3 linked regions of the Lonchura striata genome follow. The protein of the gene in region 1 binds, or shares a complex with, the protein of each later gene. Links are inferred from orthologs where the notes say so. Each region holds a gene or a part of one and is shown in the gene's direction. Other genes may lie near its edges.

Region 1 (7,453 bases):
TCATCAGTAAAGAATGTGCCATTGTTTTGATACTGTGTCAGTGAGTTCTGCCAGTTGTGTATAGATATATGCTGTGTATAAAATAATTTACCAAGTTTATATTTTTTAATATTCAAACCTTGACTTTCAGTTAATGAGTACATGGCTTTAATGAGTATTTCCTTTTTAGACATCATTTTAAGCTCTTGTTTCTGACATTAATTTAGTGCACAGACAACAGAGTTGGTAACATTGGTAACAGAGGTGAAGACTATAAAGCAGTTTGAGGTTTTGATGCTGCAACATATTTGTTGCATGATTTGAACACATCATTTGAAGACAAATAGGAAAGAATCAATATATGTGATACAGATAGAGTTTGCTAAGGTTTTTGAAATTCCCTCCTGTGACACCTCATAAGAAAGGGAGGGGCATGCTGTTCAGCATAAACTACTGTAAAAACAATACAAGATGGGTGTGAAAACCCCGCTCAAACCATGTTTTTAGAAAGTAAATTTTTTAAGAGGAACATCTCAGCTCAGAGGATCATTCTGGATCTGATAACATGCAGTATTTTAATTAAGGACTTGGCTGATGGAATAGACAGCACACATCAAATCTGCTAGATGTGAAGGGTCAAACATTTTTCAGAACAAGGTTAGAATTCAGAAACAATCCATGGACATAGAAGAAAATTCACAAGTAAGGTCATACACAAGCTGAAGAAGGACTGGCTAGCAGCGTTCTGCTGCCAAAAGAGAATAAGCAAAGGATTGTTTGTGGGATGCATAAGCAAATGTGTGATATCTTAAAGCCTGTGCTGGTCAGACATCAGCTAGACTGCTGTTCTTGGAATTGTGCACTGTACTGACAAAGACCCACAGGAAGAAACGCAGCAAGTACAAGAAAAAACAATTTGAGGTCTAAAAAACATCACCTTAGAGGAAATATTAAAATAATTATTTATTCTTTGATAAAATTGAGGGTGTAGATGATGCTATCAAATGCCCTGAAGATTGCTACTTCCTGTATTCACTGAGATAAGCTCATTACCTCTTCTACACTGCAGCACAGGAGATGAGGTTAGACTTTGGAAGATATTTGTAACTCCAAGGTTAGTTCAGCACTGGAATGCACTGCTTAGGGAGGCTGTTCTGTCTTTCACCATTGGAAGTTTTGAGAAAGAGCTTCAGGAGCAGTTAATATCACTCCTGCTTATTTTCTGTTATTCTGGGCCTTGTTTTAGTGTATAGATTTAAAAGATAACACAGACCTCACCAGTTTTAACATTCTATTAGTTGGACAGGCAGGGCAGCACAGAGATAAGTTTTAGGGCTCCAATAAGCTGGAAGCTCATTTATACCAAAATACCAATTGGATTTGCTTTCCAAATGCTTAGCTTAACACTGAAGAAATATGCCTGAGTGGGGATTTATAGTTCCCAGTGCTGCTAGCACTGGTTTACCTGAGCTAGTAGAAAAGTGGGGGGGAAAATTGCTAAAGACAGTCTCTGTACCTTTCTTTGTATATAGTGAATCATTCTTCGGGGTTTTTTTTCACTGTACTATGAGGATTCAATGCATGTGTGACTACTATCAATAGATTTATTCTTTGGCTCTCCTGAGTTTATTGTTTTGTAACATCTTGACAAGAAGAGAGGTAATAAGTACAGTTCATTCAATATTAAAAAAAAAAAGTAAGATAAGTAAGGCAGAAGAAAGGCAAACAGAAAGTGAGAAAATGAGTAGAAAGTGAGATTTCAAATTTTATTTGCTTTATTTATCCATGACATTGCTGGGATATCATCCCCTACTAAACAACTTAAGATTTTTCTACAAAGAGAACAACCATCTCTTTCTTTTATTCCTCCCAACCTATAGGGGGGAAAATTACATTAGCTGGCATTTGTGCTTTGTATAGAGATGAGAAATTCAGATCAGAGCAAAACTACACACTTGTATTTTCTAAAGTCCTGCAGCAATCCTTGCCTTCAACAAAGAGCTCTGCCATGGACTGGGACTACCTTCTGCAAAACAGTTTTGTCTCTTCTGTTTTCTCCTAGAAACCTGAAATAGGTTTCTTAGGTCAAGTGGACTGTAACTATTAGGAAAGGAAACAAGCACATTTGAAGATACAGACTCAGAGAGATTTTTCACATGTGACAGAAAACATTGACAGACAGAGCTGCAGTTCAAGGGAACTCTGTGCAGTGCAGGAAGTGTTTGCAGTGATTTTTATCACACCTTCCATCAGTATGACTTGGAGAAAAGCTACACAAGTCAAGACTCAGTTTTCACTATATAGATTGCTTCAGCCAAGTCTGTGCCAAGATACCTATTCAGTGTTCAGCTGGAGAATGGGACTGCGCTGGGGCATTTAACCACACTATGGAGCTCAAAACAAACAGACAAACCATACTCTGTCTTGTGTGAGTCTGTCTTGGATGATTCTTCCTTGGATGAGCCTCAGACCTACATTACAGGTGTAGGTCTGCACACAGGTCATGCATGTCTCCAGTACTGCCTCCTGAATGGATCCTGGACTTGATTTGACATCTCACTTGAGTGATGGTCACTGGTGTATGGCAAATCTTGTTGCTATTGCCCCCTTGCTCTGCTCTTGGCTGTGCCTTCATTGGTGACCATGGCTCTCAGTCCATAATGCCTGGAGGAGTAGCTCTGCCCTGACACTGATGTGCAGCTCAGGGAGGAGCAAAGGGGTGGATAAAAATACTCTTATATCTTTTTCTTTTCCCCCAGCCCCATGCAAAAGACTCCTCTTATTTAAGACTCTGGATTTAATTCTATTTATTTATTTATTTTAGCTTTTAATCTAACCATGTAAATTATGTTTTCTGTGATTTGTTGCTGCCTGACTCTTCAGATTATTACACACAGCAAAATACAGGAGTACTTTGACAAAATAAATCAGTTGGTGCTTAATTTTAGCAGTCAAATGTCTTTGGGACTGTATTGTTTTTATTTCTTGAAATGCAAGATGTCTAATCTGGTTAAAACAGCAGATTGTCATGCCAAGCACAGTCATTGTACAGGATTAAGAACTATAGGATTACAGATCCTAATTATAGACTCTTGTTGGTTAACTATGTCTTAATAGGTTGTTTTTAACTTCTGATTCCACTTGTCATTTATTTTGCAATCATGTTTTTAATAAATTTCTGATGCATCTTCTAATTTGTCAAACCTGTATTCTTATAGCACTGTCTGGATTCTATTTCATGTCAATATTAGCAAATTAAATAATTTGAAGTTCAAGGTCCTTCTACATCTCTGCTCTTTTAGTTTTTTTACAACAAACTTCAAATTATACTGCTGTTTGAACATTCCCTTCTTGCACTTTGGTTTCTTGGTATTCAGATTACTTCCAGAAAAGTTATAGATGAAGATTTTCTGTAGCCATTTTTCTGCCTGAGCCCCATTGTAGTCAATGTAGATCTACATATGGGAAAGTAATTTAGAAGATATTAGTATTTAAAGGTACTGTATTTACTTTATGAGGAATGGCATTGATATAGTTGCCTTTTGACGTCATCTTTGTCATATTCTTTTGCTCTCAATGACCTTTTTGCTTGGTAGATGCCATGGGGAATGTGCCACAGAGACTATTATTTGTCTGTGGCTATGTCCTGCAGGACTGGCCAAACAGGATTCTTTCACATTCAGTGGAAAGCTGTCAAGATAATTAAAGTTTCAATTATTGACTGGAATTCAGCCTAGATTCCTTAACTGATGAATGGGACAAGGTCTTGGTTATCTTAGTTTTTGCTCAAGTTCTTCACCATGCAGCACATAATTCTGTTCAGCTGCACTAACAGCAAGGAAAGTACATGGTCCAGCTAATACTGCTGTCATTTGAAGCATATTTTTTGGCACTGTAATCAGACCAGTGGTGAAATGGAGTCTTATTTATAGCAGCTTTATAACATTTTGCCTATCACCTTTAAGACATAGGACATGCAGAACAGTACAGACCAGGACTTCAAGTGCACTAAGTACCATGCTTGTGTCAGGGTGGCAATGGGGACAACTTAGGGCAAGCCTAGATGAGACACGATAGTAATTGCTCTTAATCAAACTACTGGAGCTGGAAAAACACCTATCCATAGCAAGTGAGGCCTTTTATAGCTCTGTATGTGGCCTCATTTCAGAAATTTTGTGTGCACAGTTCAACCTTTAATTATGAAATTATAAATACATTAGGGAGGCTTGGAAGCTGATTTGGAGCAGTGCATGCCCCATGAATGAAAATTGGTGGATAACCACTTGGCATATTTTTAATTTTCTCCTTTTTAATTGCACAATCTTGCGCCTTTGTTACTGCATACAACTAAACACAGAACTATTAACTTCCTCGTGTTTTTCACGGCACAGAGCGCTCAGAGTTCGGCAGCGCTGCCGGGATTTAACTCTGGCCCAGGGGACGCGCAGACCCGCGGGCGCGGCCGCTCCTCCTCCCGCCCCCGCCCCGCTCCCCTCACGGAGTCACCCCGCCCCGCCGCTAGGGGGCGGCAGCGGGGCCGCGCGCACCTGCCCCCTGCCCCCGCCCCGCTGCGGGCGCTGCGCTGCGCCGCGCATGCGCGGCCCGGCCCCGCAGGTCGGCTGAGGGGACGCGGCGGCGGCGGCGGCCGCTCCTCTCTCGAGGCTCGGCAGGTACGTGCGGCGGGGCTGCGCGGCCCCGGCCCCGCCATGGCAGCGTGGGGTGGCTCCCCGCTAGTGCTGCTGCACCTGCCCCCCGGCGCGTCTCCGGCTGCCTGCGCCCAGGCGGGCGGAGCAGGCGCCGCCGGGGAGCGCTGCCCCTAGCCGGGGCGCCGTGAGCGGGCGCGGGCTGGCTGTGGGACTTGCCTGGAAGAACGCGGGGACAGGGGACGGCCCGGGCCACGCCGCTGTGCCCGTCTGCGGCGGGAGGGGGGCCCCGGGTCCGTCGGGGCTTGCGTGGGCACAGAAGGGGCAGTCGGCGGCAGAGATGCGCTCGTCCGCGAGTCCAGCCGCGGCCGAAGGCAGAACTGCGCAGCAGTGGGGATCGGCCCGGGAAGTACCTGCCCCGGGGTGGCAGCGGCGGCGGACGGAGAGCCGCGGCGGCGGACGGAGAGCCGCGGCGGCGGACGGAGAGCCGCGGCGGCGGACGGAGAGCCGCGGCGGCGGACGGAGAGCCGCGGCGGCGGACGGAGAGCCGCGGCGGCGGACGGAGAGCCGCGGCGTCCCCGGGCCGGCGGGTCGGAGCGGCTCCCCAGGTAGTGCCTGTGCGGGGCCAGAGGGGAGGGGCGGCTCGGCGGCGGCGGCCGAGACGAGGAGAGGAGGGATGCGAGAAGCTGAGCAAGTGCCGCACGCTTCGCCTCCGCTCACGGAGCTCTCGGCCGGCGGGGCGGCAGGTGCGGATCGGGAGAGCGCCGAAAGCGGCGGGGGGAGGCCGGGCAGGGCCCCTGGTGGAGCTCGCAGATTTCGCCTCCCTCGAGGGGTCCCAGAGCAGCGTGGGTAGGGACAGCAGTGGCGTTCTGCGCTGTGGGACTGCGCTGGCCTCTAGCTTTTGTGGTTGCTTTGTGGTCTGTCGAACAATATTGAGGGCCATACTTAGTCGCCAATAAGTTGAAGTAGTTAAGTAGCATATTTGACTTAGCTTTATTTTCTAATGTAGTTATGTTGGACAGTAAGGCTCAGAAAGTAAATTTTGGTACAAGTTGATACAAGCGATGAGCTATGCAGAAATTTGTGGTGCCCGACTGCTAATGCTTTATTAATTCCCCGAGGGTCGCAGGGCTTTAGAAGTAGGAGAACATAGTGACTAAAGCCTTAATGATACCCTCAGTGTTTGTCTTGCTGACAAAAAGCTACAGTGTTTTTATAAGTTTGAAAATGTTGTCTATTTTGTTTGCAGATTGTATACTAAGTTTTATGTTGCTTGCTTTATTTGCTGCATTCCTTTTTAAGTATGTTCGTAGGAAGTCTCGAAACAGTTATCTAAATAGATAAAATAATTAATCATGTATAGACTTGCTGTAACTGAAACTATCAGCTTCTCTTTTGAAGCAGATGTAAGGTTATTCACACTAGATGTATGTATTGGCAGCTACCATCTGTTCAAATATTTGTATTTCTCACTGTAGGGAAAAGCCTGAAATCTTGTTTTTTTAATATTTTTATTGATGTTTCTATTATAGAATCTTAATGAGTTTTTGGAAGGGTTAAAGTTTGGCCTTCTGTATTTGTCTCTTGGCAGTCATTCATCCGTTGTGCTTGGTTAATGTTACCTAGTGAGCAAAGAAGGATAAATAATTTACTGTTCTCATTATGCTTTTAATAAATAACAAATGGGAGTGCACCTCACAGCTGCGACTGGAATATCCATCTTGTTATGCTATATTTAAAAGGGGAATTTTTTTTCCGTAGGACAACAGAACAGTCACAAGAAGCATTTTGATTATAGACTGCAGCTTTCTTCATAGCTTTTATTGATTTGGTTTAAAAATTCATGTAAAATACCAAATGAGATGGTCACTCACTGTTCCACTTAGGTTTATGGATTTTTTCAGAAAAGAGATGTGTACTTTGGATTTTTATTTTTAAGACCCTTTTTAATAAGGCACGTAAAATATTGTCTTAATGTAACTTGTCAAGACTTGTATTAGAGACTTCATTAGCACTAATACGGTAACCATTTTTTAATAAATTAAGAAAATACTTTTTTAAATGCATTTGCAGTTACAGTGTCAGGAAATTAATGGTAATTTTACTGAAGTTTAAGTTTACTTACTGAATATTTTCAGTGTTAAGTGAAAGCAAGAGGGTCTTTAGGTCCAAGTCTTGGCAAGAACGACACTACAGTCATTGTGATCAGGTTTAAACCTGAGATGGGCTAGTAAAATTGTTTCCAAGATAAGGCAGAACAATGCTTTGCTTTAAAAGGACCAGGAACTGCAAAGAGAATCGTATTTTCATTTTAATTAACTTGGTTTGAGAGTCTTTGTGAACAGAACAGCATTCTTTGAATGTTTGTTTACAATGAAAGTTTGTGGTATTCTTTGCCTTTGCAAAGCACTGACTTTTCACTGTAGTAAGAGGTGTACTATCTACCAAACCCTAAACCATTTTTATATATAAGTTTCACAAACACTTCATAAATATAGGTCATTGAATCTTGTGTGCTGCTTGTTTCTGTAAGAGACACTTGCTGTCTGTACCTATATTTTTCTAGTTGAAGATATATCTAAAATAAAGTTTAAAAAGATTTTTTTGTCATCACTTCATCAAAACAAAAATCCTTGTAACTTCATAAAATCCAAAGTAGACTATGTTTCTTTTAAAACAGTGCAGAATAGTGTTTTCAATGCGTAAAGTGAGAGTAAAAACAGATTCACATCATAGTATTATATGACAACAGTAGAGGGAATGCCGTAGAAAAATATTCTCACGTTAAACCAAGAGTGTTTCTGCTAGCTGTTAAATTCTGTAAACTTGCC
Region 2 (7,199 bases), on another chromosome or scaffold:
CTGCAGTGCTGCAGGGATTCCTAAAGAACAACAGAACCAGAATTAGATTTGATTTTGGATAAAAAATATGTTCAGATACAGGTCTTTTTTTTTTATTCCAAGTTCAAGGTTAGGAAAGGAAAGGCTAATTTTGAAATTAATTTTGATTTGGTATATTTCTTCTTATACCTTTTCTTCTTAAAGCTGTAGAAATCAGAAAGGACATAGCAGGTGATGGAATGCAGAAAAATTCATATTAACTCCATGTATTTTCATTATTCCTACCTGTGGCATAGAATTACCTGGAAAATAGAATCCTTGTACATTGTAAACCCTTTAAATTGGTCTAGGTTTCTAAAAATAATTGGTTTCTTTAAATTTCTGTGGAGAGATTTTATATTTGAAGGAGTTTTTTTCTGACTGACATGTGAAACTGAGGATAGTGCGTGCTAAGAGTACGCTTGTCTCTAATTTAGCAGCTGGATTCGAAAGCTTGAATTATCTCTGCATAATTGCAATGATTAATGGATTGTTAGGAAATTGCAAAGTATTGATTGAATTTTCCCCTTAGGAAATATTTCTCCTCTGATAAAACACAGTTCTGGGCCTTTGCTTTTGTCCTTCCTGCTTTCTGCCCCAGGAAAGCCAGGGGCTGCTTTTATCCAGGAAATGGGAATTTGGGTCAACAGCCCTTCAAGGACAATTTTGAATTATTGTGATTTCCAATCCCAAATCTTCTCTGAGCTTTGCAAAGAGATGGATTTGCAAAGTGTGAACAGGGATTTCCGAGCCAGAAAAGCTTTTTCTTTTTTTGCTGGGACCAGCAGCAAATACTGGCCATCCCTGTTTCACATTCTGCCATTTCCATGTCAAATACCACCAGTGTGCTCTGCAAAAACATCTTGACCTTGTTGTGGGAATGCCACACCCATCAAGGCTGGTGGTAAATTTTCCACTTTATTAGGCCAGGATTACTCTGGGGGATCTCAGGAGTTGGTGGGAAGAGGGAAGTGGAGAATGAAGTGAGAATTGGATGCAGGGAGATCTTGATGCACAGTGCCTGGGGCTGGGCAGCTGAGACCTGGAAGCCCTGACACACATCTGCACCTTAATGGTGCTGGGCTCTTTTTGGCAGCTGCTCTGGGAATTTCCAGAACAGACCCATAAATACACAGTTATGAGTGTGACCTCTGCTTCTTTCTTTGCTAAATTGACCAGCCAAGGCCCAGCTGAGTATCATCCCTTGTCTCTGCTCCAGTTGCTTGGGATGTGCTGCCTCTGCAAATGGTTCTGCCTAAGTCAGGAATTATGAGAGCGTGCTAATTCAAGGTTTGCCATGAATTTAGTGTTCCTGCAAGGATGACACTAATGGCAATTAATGCAGCAGAAATGCCAGTGCTGAGTGACTGTTCTCACAATAAAAGCTGTCAGTTGGAGAGCACAGTCTCTGTTATTCCAGCCTGACCTCTGCTTTCTGGCTGTGTTTCCTGTGCACAGCAGGTGTCCCAGGCCGTCCCATCTCTGCAGCAATTCACTCTGGGAGGGGACACAGGGAAAGAGCAGAGCAGCCCAAACCAGCCTGTGCTGACAGTGACATTTCCTGAGGCTTTGGATATTCTCCTCTGTGGCTTGAATAGCAACAAAATTAACCCAGAACTGAACAGGATATAAGACTTTAATTTCTGGAGCTCCTTGCTAGTTCAATGCTCTCCTCATGTCCTGCTCTGTTGATTCCTGTTTAGACACAGAGCTCTTTCTACTGTTTCAGTTTTCACCGTGAAGAATCTGATTTTAAATGTCAATTGCATTCAAACAGGCTTAGCTAGAAGTAATCCCTGCTGCTGCCCAATTCCATAGCAATCTGCACAACTAGTCATGTTTTGCTAAAAAAAATCAATGGTAAAAATGTCTTTGCTTTACAATGGCTCAAGTTCAACAAGTGACAGTGCTGCAGCAGTGTGGGGATTGTGATTTTTACCTAAGCCAGAAGAGCCACTGTCCTCACTCTGTGCCCTAAACTCTTGCACAGGGTAAGTCAGTTCCAGATGAGGAACATCTGCAATGTGATGCAAGAGGAAGTAATGCTTGCACACATGAAAAATGTAAATAAAGGGTGTTTCTAGGCTCACAAACACAATCCAAAGCATGAAAAGGAGAACAGCTCTTACAGGAGAATAACTAGAGGTACTTAATCTGTGTTATTTTAAGGCTTTTTAGCTCTAAAAGCAGTTCTGGAGGATGAAACCAGGTCTGAGAAACATCAAGTGAAAATTAATAGCTTTTTAACAACAAAGTTTAATGGACAAGTGCAAATAGGATATGAGATAGAAACCTGAGCTCCTGAATTATAAATATACCCAGCCTCTACACAGGCAAGTATCTGTTATCTATTTGATGTACTACTCAATGCCGGGGGATTGAGAAAGGCAGGAGCTGGATGAGCATTTTCAGGTTCAAAATTTTGTGTATTCTGGGTTTAGCTGGAGATAAAAAGGATGAATCCAACACAGATGCCTATAGCCCTCACCACTACACTACCCCCTGTGAGGAGCTGGAGGTGCAGGGCACATCAGAGGCTGGCAGCAGGGTGTGGGTGAGCCCAGACTGTGATGCCTCTGTGACCTGTGGAGGGACACGCTGCAGTCACCCTTCAGGTGTCTTTGTTATTAATGTTTGTTTTCCCCACTTGGAAGCTCTGAGGCAGCATGAAAGATTTCTCTTTAAATGCAGAGGATCACGTTCTGGCTCGTTATGGTGCCAGCAGACGGTAACTGCTGCACAGCACTGCTGCTGATGCCTGGGGGTTACTTTCCACACGCAGGAATGATGACACAGCCACTGACTGCAGTGATGGCAAACACGCTGCTGCTGAGGGCAGGCTGGTGGGAAAGAGCAGTTTTAAGGGATTCTGTTTAATCATCTGGACACAAGTGCTATTTTTATCCTCTGTTGTTTGTATCTCAAGCCTGCACCAGGAGAAGCTGATGACAAAGTTGGTGTCTGCCATGGCACAGGGGAGACAAGGGGAACCGGACACCTTTTGGGAAGGGAGAAGCAGGGTGGGCAGGTGTGGCAGTGGGAAAGGGGCCTGTGCTCATGGCTTTTTTGCACCTTATGAGCTGAAAGAGCTTGTTGGCCTCTCTAATACCTCCACAAGCTCATATGACTCTCTCAGCTCAGTTCACAGGAGGGATCTTCTTGGGGGACTTCCCATCGACCAACCCCAAGTTCCCCTGTGCTAGTGGGTGGCTTTGGGATGAGCCAGTGCCTGCCCATGGAGGCAGGAGAAGGGCACCCACCCCATGGTGGGGGTTAAAGTTGGTGGGCTCCAGGCAAGAGGTGAGGTGAGATTATCACAGTGTGTGAAGAGGCCCAGGGAGCTCGGAGCATGCCCAGCCATCACTTGGGCACAGGATTCCGGGTAGCTCAGTGTGCCCATCCATCCTTTGGGAATAGGCTCAGAGATCCTGGAGGGAGCGTGCCTGGGCATTGAGTACAGGAATCCGGAGAGCTCAGTGTACCCATCCATCCTTTGGGAATAGGCTCAGAGATCCTGGATGGACTGTGCCTGGGCATTGAGTACAGGGATCCGGAGAGCTCAGTGTGCCCATCCATCCTTTGGGAATAGGCTCAGAGATCCTGGATGGACTGTGCCTGGGCTGTACAGGAGTACAGGAGTCCGGGGAACTCAGTGTGCCCATCCATCCTTTGGGAATAGGCTCAGAGATCCTGGAGGGAGCGTGCCTGGGCATTGAGTACAGGGATCCGGAGAGCTCAGTGTGCCCATCCATCCTTTGGGCACAGGGACTCCTCAGAGAAGCCCGAGCATCGTTTGGGCACACAAAGCCGAAAAGAAATAAAAGCGAACTGGGGGTAGAAAAGATTCAGGTTCCACCGAGATTTGAACTCGGATCGCTGGATTCAGAGTCCAGAGTGCTAACCATTACACCATGGAACCGCTCTGCCACCACCCCCTCCCGGCTGCCCCTAGTTCCTCGCGCCGCTCGCCGCCGCAGCGCGGCCGCTCCCTCAGGGCGGCGGAGGGGGCTCGGCGCTGGGGGCTCCGGGGCCGGGCGGGACCCCCGCCCGCCGGGCCCCGCTGAGGGCGCGGCCGCGGCGCTGCCTCGGGCGCGGTCGTGCGGCGGCGCCGCTGCCCCGGAAGCGCCTGTGGGCGGGCGGGCGGAGCGCGGAGGGCGGAAGAGCTGCGGCGGCTGCAGGGAGGGTCCGGCCCCGCTCCGCTGCGCTCCCGGTCCCGCTCCTCCGCCACCCGCCATGGGCACCCGCGACGACGAGTACGATTATCTCTTCAAAGGTGAGGCGGGCAGGGCGGGAGAGCGGCGGGGCCCGCGGGCGCGGCCCGGCGGGTGCGGGAGCGCTCCGGGCACCGCCGGGCCCCGCTCGGGTGTCCGGCCCTCCCTCACGCACAATGCCAGCTCCGGGCCGGCGGATTTGGTGCCAGCGCCCGCCCGAGGCCGCCCCGGCACGGTCTGCGGGGTGGCGAGCAGAGATCGCCAGGAAGGATGCCCAGGGCTGAAAAGGACTCCTCAAGGTTGACAAGAACCTTTCCAGCTGTTAAATAGAGCTTTAGAGTGGGCGAGATATACTCAGCATTGATAAATGATGCGCTCATTTAATCAAATAGTACTCCTTGCTGCCTTCTGTGTTCAGAGCCCATGGCGAGGAGTGGAATGTCCCTGCTGCTCCACGCCCAGAGATCATAAAATCCTCCTGCAATCATGGAATGGTTTGAGTGGGAAGGGACCTTAAGATGATCGCATTCCAAGCCCCTGCCATGGGCAGGGACACCTTCCACTGTCCCAGGTTGCTCCAAGCCCCGTCCAGCCTGGCCTTGCTCTGTCCTGGCTCCCCCAGGGAAGGGCAGGAATGCCGTCATTCCCAGGGCTGATGCCCCTGCAGTCTGCGATGCGGTGGCAAGTCGGATTAAAACCTCCCAGGTTGTTGTTAAATATTCAATTTTCACTCCCTGCAGAGTAAAACACCGGCCTGCTGGACAGGTTCATGTGGCCTGCTGTGAAATGTGTACAGAAGTGCTGATATTTTGAAAGTTGACTATCCAGTTTTTAAAATCCCACTGTAAAAGCAAGCAAAGTAGTGTAAAAAAGTAGTTGTTTATTGTGATGTGATATTGTAAATTTGAATTTAGGATTAAGAGCATTACTTGTGTTTTAATGGTGGCAGACCCTGTGCTTGTCCTCACAAAGGTAAAATATTGATGTTTTTTTCTGTACCTTTAAGCTCCTGTAATAACTTTGAGGAATTACATTTTTTTTGTTGTTGTTGGCTGTTTTGTCCAGTTGCATGTGGAAAGTGCCATTATTTCTACCTATAAATCAGACATCTGTACTGTTATGGAAAGCAAATCAGGAAGGTCCAGAATGAGCTCTTTTCTCAGCTTGCAGCCCTGGCAAGGACCTTGCTGACCACTGTTTTAATGGCATCAGGCAATGTTGTTGTAGGTACAGGTTATCAAAGCCATTGAATTCCCATTGTTCTTGCAGTTCTGTCAGTGGGCTTGTAATTAATGTTCTAGCTGTGGAAGCCTGGGAATATCAGTGACACAGAGTTTATTGGGAGAGCTCCTATCTTTCATTTGGCCTGCTTCCTTTTCTAGTTGGGAAAATATAAAGTTGGAATCCAGTTATAGAGAGAAGTGCAAAGCTGATTTAATTGATTGCCTTTGCTAAAGCGTTTTCTGTTCAGCTTGGTTTATGGAAGCCATTGAGGGTGCAGGGAATGCTGTCAAAATGCTGTTGTGAAAATAAATGATTTGGATTTTTCCAGCCTAAAGTGGACTGCAGGAAGTTGATGCAATGTCTGTCACTTAACTGGGATTGATGTGGCAGCTGAAATAACACAAAAATGCAGAATAATGAAACTGTGGAAACTTTTGTAACTTCCCAGAGGTGATGGTGGTTCTAAACAAGCTGTCACCACTCTGGAATGATCTGGAAATTACTGCAAGGAGATCTCTGAACTGAATGTCTTTTGCCAGGCACTGGTCAAAAAGGCTAGGGGTAAATATAGGTAAATATTTTGGAAAAGGAAGTGGGAACTTGGGGAGAGCGTTAAGTCAGTGCTTGAATTTGAGACATGAGCTTCTTGGGAATTGAGGTGATGTGTAGCCATGACAGACATAACCATTTTGAAAGGGATGTTGTAGAATTAAAAAGATGGAGAAAGGCATCAAAATGATCAGAAAAGAGACCTAATGGATTCATAGTCCTTATACTCAATTGATGTACAGCTTGATTAAAATTTAAACAGTGAGTGATAAGGGCAAATAGGGTAAGTTTCTCCTGTTTGTCGTAATTTCTCTGGATATCTGTAATGCTTCTTTTATTGGGTAGCGGGTGAAAGCAAATGGACAAAATCCCTCAGGTGTGTATGCAAATTTTGGAGTGATGCATTGCCATGCATATTGTAAATGGATTTGAAAGCCTGCACAAATTCATAGAAGCAAAAAATCTTGTTTGGGGTGTGTCAGTGTGACAGTTACGATGGCAAGTCTGAAGGCATTGCTTATTTGAAGATGCAGGGGCTGGCTAGGACAGAGATTAGCCTGTTTGCTGTGATGCACATCAGGGTTTTTGGACATCAGTTATTTGGAGTCAGACTCTGGGTGTTGGCCTGTCAGGACACTTCATCCAGCAGGACATTTCTGAGTTTCTTAAGGGACTGTATGGGTCGGTTGGTGGGACTGAGTTCAGAGTTTAACCTGGTTAAAACAATCATGTGATCTTCTCTAGTCTGGCTGTTTTTTACTGTTCCTGGGCTGAACTGCCACGTTTCTGTTTGTGAGACCTCTGGTTTTGTCCTGACTGCAGCTGTGTGTTGAAATCTGGTTGACTCTGCTGCTGGGTGAAAGCTGAGCCCACCTGTGCTGCTGTACAGTAAAATCCAGGGACCTGTTACAAAATACACTTCTCCTGACTGTGTTGCAACACTTCAGCATATAGGAAGGACTAAACCTAGCTTGATAAAAAACAGTTTCTGTTAAATTCTTCTCGTCCAGCTTCCAGTCTTTGTATTCTTCCATACTTTCACGGTCTGGCTGAGAGCAGTGCCTGCTGTTCCCAGAATGGCCCCTGAGGAAACACAAGGCCTATGAAGTACAGTTCATATAAATCTTGCTCTCATTTTAGTAGGAGGAAAATATAATAGTGATATATATCTATTACTTTATTACTTTATAAATTAAG
Region 3 (8,036 bases), on another chromosome or scaffold:
GCTTCCATTTGGATCAGCCGCTGAACTCCTTTCCAAGATGGCTCAGAAGTGAATGGAAACCACTTCCTCCAGCTTAGGAGTGGTCAGTGACCAAATTTGCTAAGCTGCAGCAAAACGCTTTTTTTTTTTCCAAAGTGTTTTAACATAAAGCATAAAACAGTTGCCCCTCCAGAGTCTGTATTCCACAAAAGTGTTTGGGAAAAAAAAAGTTAATCCTGTATATGGCAATCCTCCTTAGACTGGGGGACAATATAGTGCACAAGCCTGGCAGTTACTAAAGCAGGGCTCTATTTTCCTTCAAAAACAAGCAATTAAAGGAGTTGAATCTTAATAAACACATATTTATGGACACCAGTTTGTCCATGTTGTCTGTATCGCATTTCTCCCAGCAGTATCTTCCTTTTATTAACTAGTCTATTTCTTATACACATTAGTGGTGTTCCAATTACTGTGCAGTTTATTCAGCAATACACAAACAGATCTTATTACTGAGAAATGCGCCCTGCCTAATCCCTTATGTACCACAGGAAGCAAAGTTATATCAGCAAAAATCAGATATATTTTAAGAATATATCTGATTTTGTCCCAAAAAAGCCTGAGGTCAGTGTCTGTGCCCAGCTGACCACGTAGATTCTCCGGCAGCCAGGATGGATCAGGAGCTGGCTCCAGCTTCACAGCGAGCTGTGACAGGGCGCCACTGAAACCAAGGGCAGAGAAACCAACGGTGAAGGTTTTGGAACTAAGCCATCGTGGAAACAGTTCATTTTTTGAATTTGAATAGATGCAGCCCTGTGAAGTGCTCCAAAAATACCCCGATCCTTTTGCAATCATGTAGATTTCCTTTTTGTGTGGCAGGAATGATAAGTGCCATTAAAAAAAGAAAGGACAAGCACACACTCCATACCTTGACATTCCTGAAATGCCAGAGTTTAAGCAAACAAAAAAGCAGAGGCAGAAGGGCCCCTGAGCTGCCCTGCATGTCCCAGGGAGATGCTGCTGAAGTTGTAGGGAAACTGATTCACTGGGGGCATGTGCCAGCAGCAAGTGCCCTGTGTGACCCTGCTCTGGTTCCACGCAGGCTGAAGGGGAGGTGGCAGCTCTGAACAGACGCATCCAGCTCGTGGAAGAGGAGTTGGATCGTGCCCAGGAACGACTGGCCACAGCCCTGCAGAAACTGGAGGAGGCTGAGAAAGCAGCAGATGAGAGCGAGAGGTACGCTCCTTTTTTATTTTCTGTTGTGTGTCATTAAGTATCTGCATGTGCTACTGCAGGGCAGAGACTTGAAACTTTTTTACAAGCTTGATTGGGTAATTCTGTTAGCCTTGATGAACACGATGGGTCACTTTTAGGCTACAAATCTCAAATTCCACTTTGTGAAGTTGAGATACAAGTGCCAAAATACTTCTCAGTTAAACATGCTTTGATTTCTGCAGAGGAATGAAGGTTATTGAGAACAGAGCAATGAAAGATGAAGAGAAAATGGAAATTCAGGAAATGCAGTTGAAGGAGGCCAAGCACATTGCTGAAGAAGCCGACCGCAAGTATGAGGAGGTAAAAGGGAGAAGGAAATGGTGAAAGCTGTGGGAGAGCCATGAACAGTAACACTGCTCTTCAGTCTAGTCCCTCTGTTCAGTTGGCACTGGGCGATGCTTCAACCTTGCAACATTGCCAGCAAGGAGGAATTTTAATAGTGATTTGCACTCCTTAGGTACCTAATGCAAAAAATACTGCAAAATCTAACTAATTGGGGAGGGCTGTTACCTCTGTGGGTGCATGCTTTAACCTAATTTCCTTACTCCAGAGGAAGCAGGAACAGAGTACTTCTGAGTGCTTTCTGAAATCTGCAAGGAAGTTGTCCCAGGCTGTGGCAGGGGGTGGAACTAGATGATTTTTGAGGTCCCTCCCAACCCAGGCCGTGCTGTGATTTTGCAAATTGCACACTGGCCTGACAACTGGCTGTTGTCTTTTTACAGGTTGCCCGTAAACTGGTTATTTTGGAGGGTGAACTGGAAAGAGCTGAGGAGCGTGCAGAGGTGTCTGAAGTGTGAGTAACTTTCTAGAATATAGGAAATACCAACACTACATTTCAATAAAAATAATCTGGTAGGCAGGCATGTAGTTAGTACTTGCAGAAAAGTCTGTTTGCACACTGCATACCTGGTTTTCTTCTTTCACACTTAATTACTTCCTCCCTTGTATTTCTTAGACTCCTCCAAATCATAACAGGAACACCAGTAATTCATACTTCTATTTTCTCCTTCTAGTAAATGCAGTGACCTCGAAGAGGAGTTAAAGAACGTCACAAACAACCTGAAATCTTTGGAAGCTCAATCTGAAAAGGTTGGTTCTTTCAGTAAACTAAAGGATATGGGCAAAGCCTAAACTTGTAAATAGAATTCACAGAAATAAACCAGAAATAAAAAGCAGATGAGAGGTTTACCTGCCTGCCTGTGGATACCACTCCAAACAATCCTGAAGGTCTGCAGGAGAGCAGAAAAGCACGGAAATGGTGTTTGCAGCTGTTGTAAAAGGAAGAGTGCTTATAAATAGGTCACAGTTTCATAAACATTTATTATTGTTGCTACAATTTCCCTTAAAGAGTGTTTATTGTTTTCACAGTACTCGGAAAAAGAAGATAAATATGAAGAAGAAATCAAGATTCTCTCTGACAAGCTGAAAGAAGTAAGTTTGGCCACCCCCATGCTGGATGCATCTTAGGGCATAATCTTTCTAGGAGCATCCAGTGATGCTGTTTCAACTTTTTTAGGCTGAAACTCGTGCAGAATTTGCAGAGAGAACTGTTGCCAAACTGGAAAAGTCTATTGATGACCTGGAAGGTATGGAATGAGTCAAGTTTCTTTAAAGGTGGTCAGTTTAAAATCAGAAAACAAATTCTAGGAGTTGGGTGGTGGATGTAACGGGAAAGAACAGCAGCATTGGTCAGGCATATTGGTGGATGGGTGTGATGTGTCCACTGGGCACCTGCCCTGTGTGGTGGAAGTTCTCCTGAAAAAGGTTTTCTTCCATAAAGTTGGTAACAATGACCTGATTTTGGCCAACTAACAGATGGAGGGACTCAAGGGCTCACGATCCCCACCCTACTTAATCTGAAAACAATAATGAGATTACAAAAAGACAAAAAGTTCACATAGGTGAAACTTCTGACCAGGCAGCTTGGCGGGTGTTTTGCTTTCCTTCTGATACTCAACTACGCTTCTGTTTTCTTCTTTTGTTTTCCTCCCCAACTGCTTTGGCTGCTGTTGCTTTTGCCTGTCTCCGTTCTCCTCCTGTGGCCTCTTCTCTTGCCTGCATTTCTTGCTGCCTGTTCCTGCTGCCCTGGTGCTGACAGACGAGCTCTATGCTCAGAAGCTGAAGTACAAAGCCATCAGTGAGGAGCTGGACCATGCCCTCAACGACATGACCTCTTTGTGACCCGCCCCTGCGTGGGGACACGGCCTTCCGCTCACTGTGTTTTCTCAAGCTTTTCTTGCCTGTAATCCCTGTCACTCCTGTGCCACTTCCACCTCTGGGAACTGAGCTCAATAAAACATGATACCTCTACTTTTCATCTTGCAGGGTTTACTTCTGTGTAGATCACCTCAAATACAGTGGTGGCAACACCAAAAACACATTCAGCTGTATTGTTAATGTAGGCGAACCCAATGGGAAGAAATTACAATGTCTGACTCAATTTAGAAGGCTGAATGATTTCTTTATTATAACTATGTTAAAATACATTAATATGCTATATAAAAGCAGGATACTAAAACTCCATACTACTTTCTCTGACTCTAACTCTCTCACAACTCGTGACCCTCTCTGAGAGTGCAGCCCCAGGTGGGTTGGATTGGCCACCAGGCTCAAACAATCCTCACAGAATCCAACCAAGATCTCACCCCAGGTAAACAATTCTCCAAACACGTTCCAAATAGGAAAAACAAGGAGCAGAAATAGAAATTGTTTTCTCTTTCATTTCTCTCTGTGCACCTCTATGAAAAATCCTGAGAGGGAGAGAAATGTGCTCGCCACACAGCTGCTCGTGTGGGGTTGGGCAAGACATGGTCAGGATGGGGCAAACACTTGAATTTTGGTGTTCCCTTTAGTCAGTGAAAAGCTTTGAGTGCACTCAGTGTCTGCTCGTACTCCACCAGCCTGGTTAAAAACCTCTCACTCCAAGGAAAAGCCAGCAGGATGTGGCCTATAAATGACACAGTGACACATTAAAACACAGGTCTGACATGTTCCATGAGATGTGTCCAAAAAACTCCCTTAGGGATAGCAATTACAAAAAAAATGGCCCTGTTTTGATGATATAAAAGTGTCTTAAATATGAAGGTAAGTTACCCCAGGTTTTATTTAAAGCAAAAAGGCTAGAAAATAACATTATTTAAATCTTGTGCTTTTCTCCTTTCTCACCAGAAAAACTTGCTCAAGCCAAAGAGGAGAACCTGGGCTTGCACCAGACACTGGACCAGACACTAAACGAACTGAACTGTATATGAGTGGCTCAGCGCTGCCAGCAGGCGCCACCTGCCCCTGCCTCGCTCCTTCCCCTCTCTCTCTGTATCCCGGACAAGCCACTTAAGTTATGCCCGGCACAGCCGCACCGCGGGCCCCGGGCATCCCTGGGGGCCGGGGAGCCGCGCGGCCGTGCCGGGGCCGTGGCTGCTCTCACGGTTCCTCTGTCCTTTGGTGTAAGCCCCGGTGGGAGCTGCACCCGAGCGGCGCCGCCCCCGCTGCCGTTTCTTATTAAACAATTTCTCACAGTACCGCGGCTTCTTGAGGATTCTTGTACCGCTGGGGGTGTGACGTCACGGTGCGGGCAGGTACGGGATGACGTCATTGTGTTACCGCCGGGAAATGACGGGACACCGGAGGGGGGGGCCGATAGCCAATCGCAGCGCCGCTTACATCCGTCTCAGGTCCGCCAGCCAATGGCGGGCCGGCTCCGTGCGCTCTCCGCCGGGCTGGGCCAATGAGCGCGTGGCGGGCGGGGCCCACCAACATGGCGAAGACCTACGATTACCTGTTCAAGCTGCTGCTGATCGGCGACTCGGGCGTGGGCAAGACCTGCGCGCTCTTCCGCTTCTCCGAGGACGCCTTCAACGCCACCTTCATCTCCACCATCGGTGAGCGCCGCCCGGCCGCCATCCCCGCCGGGCCGCGTCCCGCTCGGGGCTCGGGCCGCGGGAGCCGCGGGCGGGCCCGGGGCTCGGGGCTCTCCGCCGGGCTCGGGGCTCTCCGCCGGGCTCGGGGCTCTCCGCCGGGCTCGCAGCCGTGGCGGGACACTCCAGACCGGGCCGGCGCCAGACCTCCCCGGAGCGGCCGGTGCCGGGAGGGAGCACTGAGGGACGCCACACCGAGCAGCGGGATTGAGGGCAAAGCCTTGGATTTGGCCGTTGGGCGGGAGCTGGGAGTAAAGAAATTGGTTTTCCTTTCAGGAATCGACTTTAAAATTAGAACGATAGAGCTCGATGGCAAGAGAATCAAGCTGCAGATCTGGTAAGGCTCCTGTGCTGCAGTCAGCGTCTGATCGCTGGGGCTGTGTGCTGTGCGTGGGGAGGTTCGGTTCGGTTCCTATGCGGTTGTGCTGCTCTGTGGTTTATGGTGTTTTAGAAGCCAAAAGGCAGCTCTGAAGAGTGCTTCAAATTAACTGAAGGCTTTTGTGGTGTTAACTGGAACTGAGCCCCGTGTTGTGTCTGTTGCAGGGACACAGCTGGGCAGGAGCGGTTCCGGACCATCACCACCGCCTACTACAGGGGAGCCATGGTAGGGGCAGCTCGGGGACAGGGGGGACAAACCCAGCTGGCTCTGACACAGAACACTCACAGCTCTGCTCCAAGTGCTGCTGGAGCTGTGCTGGGATGTTGGATAATACCATTTTCTTGACTTAGAGATGGGGTAACTGAGCGGTGTTTCAAAAACTTTCATTTCATTTCAGTCTCATGAGAAGGGTGAGACAATACAGATGTTATAATTCACACCATCACAATCAGAAGCCAACTATTTCCTCATTACAATGCACTATAAGTGTTTCTTGGCTTCCCAACTTTTTACCACACCGTGTTGTAGATACATTAAAACCAATCATCTAAAACTACCTCTCACAGGTCCCACTACAATATATTTTCTTTAATTCTATTTCTCCAAAGTATCTAGTCTTATTTACAAAACCATATTTTGAAACTTTTTTCTAGCTCAATTTCTCTCTCAACAATATTCTATTCTATAGTATTTCTAAGTCAGCATTTCTTATCTCAAAGTTTGCATTATGTGTGAGCTTTCTGTCAGGCCCTGAGAACTCTCTACGAATCCATTTCCCACACTGGGATGATCTGGGACTTTGGAAAGGCAGCTTCCTCCATGTTTCACTCTATAAATACATGTCCTGCACACCTTATCTCACTGCCATTAGCTGGGAACCAGTTATTAAAAATAGCCACTGTTGAGTTGCTCCTCTCTGCTGTGGATAAACCTTTAACTCCTGCTGAAACAGTCTTTCTTTACCTTTAGGGCATTATGCTAGTGTACGACATCACCAATGAAAAGTCTTTTGAAAATATTCGGAACTGGGTGAGGAATATTGAAGAGGTAATTTCTCTCTTTACTTATTACTGACTGTTAAAGGTGTCATTTCTTCCCATGAAAATAATTGCTTCAGAAGCATTACATTTTCTCATGTGCTGCAGGGAACTTGGAAGATAAGTGGGATGGAAATCAGTAAAAGCTTTTGGAATGCCTTGGCTGACAGTGCTTTGTTGTGAGGGCTGTAGCCCCTGTACTTCTGAGGGCACCTAATGTGACAATTTCCTACCACAACAATTGATCCAAGAATTGCCATGGTGCAGGTTACATCCTGGGAAGAAGGGTTGGGGGAGCCTGGAAATCTGGGGAAGATTCTCAGGACTGGCATCTCTGTGTTGGGTACTCAGTGGGTGCCTCACCTGTCTGACAATGTTTGTCTACAAAAGCCAAGCCTGAGTTTCTGGTCTGTGTTTGTCTCAGCACGCTTCTCCAGACGTTGAAAAAATGATCCTGGGGAACAAATGTGATGCAAATGACAAAAGACAAGTCTCTAGAGAGCAAGGGGAGAAGGTAAGTGCCGTGGCTTTGATGTATTTTGACTTAGGCTTTTCAGAGTCCAAAACCTGGCCTGCTGACTGTCTGCACGTGCCATGGTACCCCTGTGGTGTTCCTGAGTGCAGTGCCTGAGCATTCCCCAAGCTGCCATGGCAATGCTTTCCCCCACTGGCATCAACAGCAGAACCTGTGTTAAGTATTCTTATCAATTATCTAACAGATGCAAGGCAACCAGCAGGACTTCTCTAAAAGGATGCTAGAGTTGGACATGGATAAATGTCTGTTTTGGCTGAAAGCCACTGAGACAAGGTAGATGGGATTGTCTTTTCTGATGTCAGATGTTACTTAGGCGAGGCAGAGATTTTTTCTGCACTGTGGTTGTTACAAGACTGACAAGGTATCTATGCAAGAAACGAAAAAGAGCAACCTAAAAAGTGTGCAGAGTGTAAAAGAGCAGAGCAAAGACAGTGAGAACAGATGCCAACTGCAGTGGGATTTAGTTCCTAATTTTTGTTCTGCATGAGTAAATCCCCAACTCCACTGCTGGTGGCAGCAGGGACAGATGCTGTGCCCAGGACTGTGTTTGGAGCTGTTCCTGCAATTGTTCAATAATGTGCAATATGCTTTTGTTCAGCTTGCTGCAAGTTTCGGGATTAAATTCATGGAGACCAGTGCAAAAGCAAATATAAACATAGAGAATGTAAGTACTGCTGCCTTTCTCTTGTATTTCTTGTCCTCTTTGTGCAAACCAGCAGTGTGGGATGCAGAACTCCATGGTTGGGTTGTTGAGCACTTTCCTGCAGCAGAGACCCTGGCTGGGGGTGGCAGTGTGGCTTTGGGGCTCAGAAAGAAGGTTGTGGAGCTAGAGAAGGAGCATTGAAACCTGGAGCAGAGAGGAAAATACTGAGAGCTTAACGTTTCTTGTATAGTATATCAAAACTTGGGAAGGCAGCTTA

The links. The genes of interacting proteins can lie anywhere in the genome.
Region 2: the proteins of RAB3IP (region 1) and RAB11A are in contact, whole or in part, in a crystal structure (PDB 4UJ5), measured with the Homo sapiens proteins. The link is inferred for Lonchura striata from reciprocal best matches to the Homo sapiens genes RAB3IP and RAB11A. Residues at the interface, in NP_783322.1 of Homo sapiens: Asn367, Thr368, Leu369, Ser370, Ile371, Glu372, Pro373, Asp412, Arg424, Thr428, Cys431, Asn432, Thr435, Tyr439, Leu444, Val445, Lys446, Gln447, Gln448; in NP_004654.1 of Homo sapiens: Phe36, Leu38, Glu39, Asp127, Leu128, Arg129, His130, Leu131, Arg132, Ala133, Pro135, Thr136, Leu156.
Region 3: the proteins of RAB3IP (region 1) and RAB8A are in contact, whole or in part, in a crystal structure (PDB 4LHX), measured with the Homo sapiens proteins. The link is inferred for Lonchura striata from reciprocal best matches to the Homo sapiens genes RAB3IP and RAB8A. Residues at the interface, in NP_783322.1 of Homo sapiens: Ser199, Arg202, Asp203, Gly206, Leu209, Glu210, Thr213, Ala214, Phe217, Glu218, Ala220, His221, Val224, Asn228; in NP_005361.2 of Homo sapiens: Lys10, Phe33, Ser35, Thr36, Phe37, Ile43, Asp44, Phe45, Lys46, Ile47, Trp62, Ile73, Ala76, Tyr77, Arg79, Gly80.

The regions. Positions count from the first base shown.
Region 1 is NC_134607.1:44,681,716-44,689,168, forward strand, and holds the start of RAB3IP (rab-3A-interacting protein), read left to right. Parts: upstream 1-4,420; 5' UTR 4,421-4,424; intron 4,425-4,542; exon of another isoform or gene 4,543-4,608; 5' UTR 4,609-4,649; intron 4,650-7,453. UniProt on the Homo sapiens protein: Guanine nucleotide exchange factor (GEF) which may activate RAB8A and RAB8B. Promotes the exchange of GDP to GTP, converting inactive GDP-bound Rab proteins into their active GTP-bound form.
Region 2 is NC_134613.1:22,382,811-22,390,009, forward strand, and holds the start of RAB11A (ras-related protein Rab-11A), read left to right. Parts: upstream 1-4,139; 5' UTR 4,140-4,251; coding exon 4,252-4,291; intron 4,292-7,199. UniProt on the Homo sapiens protein: The small GTPases Rab are key regulators of intracellular membrane trafficking, from the formation of transport vesicles to their fusion with membranes.
Region 3 is NC_134630.1:4,669,283-4,677,318, reverse strand, and holds the start of RAB8A (ras-related protein Rab-8A), read left to right. Parts: upstream 1-4,976; 5' UTR 4,977-5,005; coding exon 5,006-5,129; intron 5,130-5,441; coding exon 5,442-5,502; intron 5,503-5,708; coding exon 5,709-5,769; intron 5,770-6,513; coding exon 6,514-6,591; intron 6,592-7,005; coding exon 7,006-7,095; intron 7,096-7,714; coding exon 7,715-7,780; intron 7,781-8,036. Other genes in the region: TPM4 (tropomyosin alpha-4 chain), read left to right, coding at 1,079-1,212, 1,434-1,551, 1,974-2,044, 2,265-2,340, 2,620-2,682, 2,768-2,837, 4,420-4,502. UniProt on the Homo sapiens protein: The small GTPases Rab are key regulators of intracellular membrane trafficking, from the formation of transport vesicles to their fusion with membranes.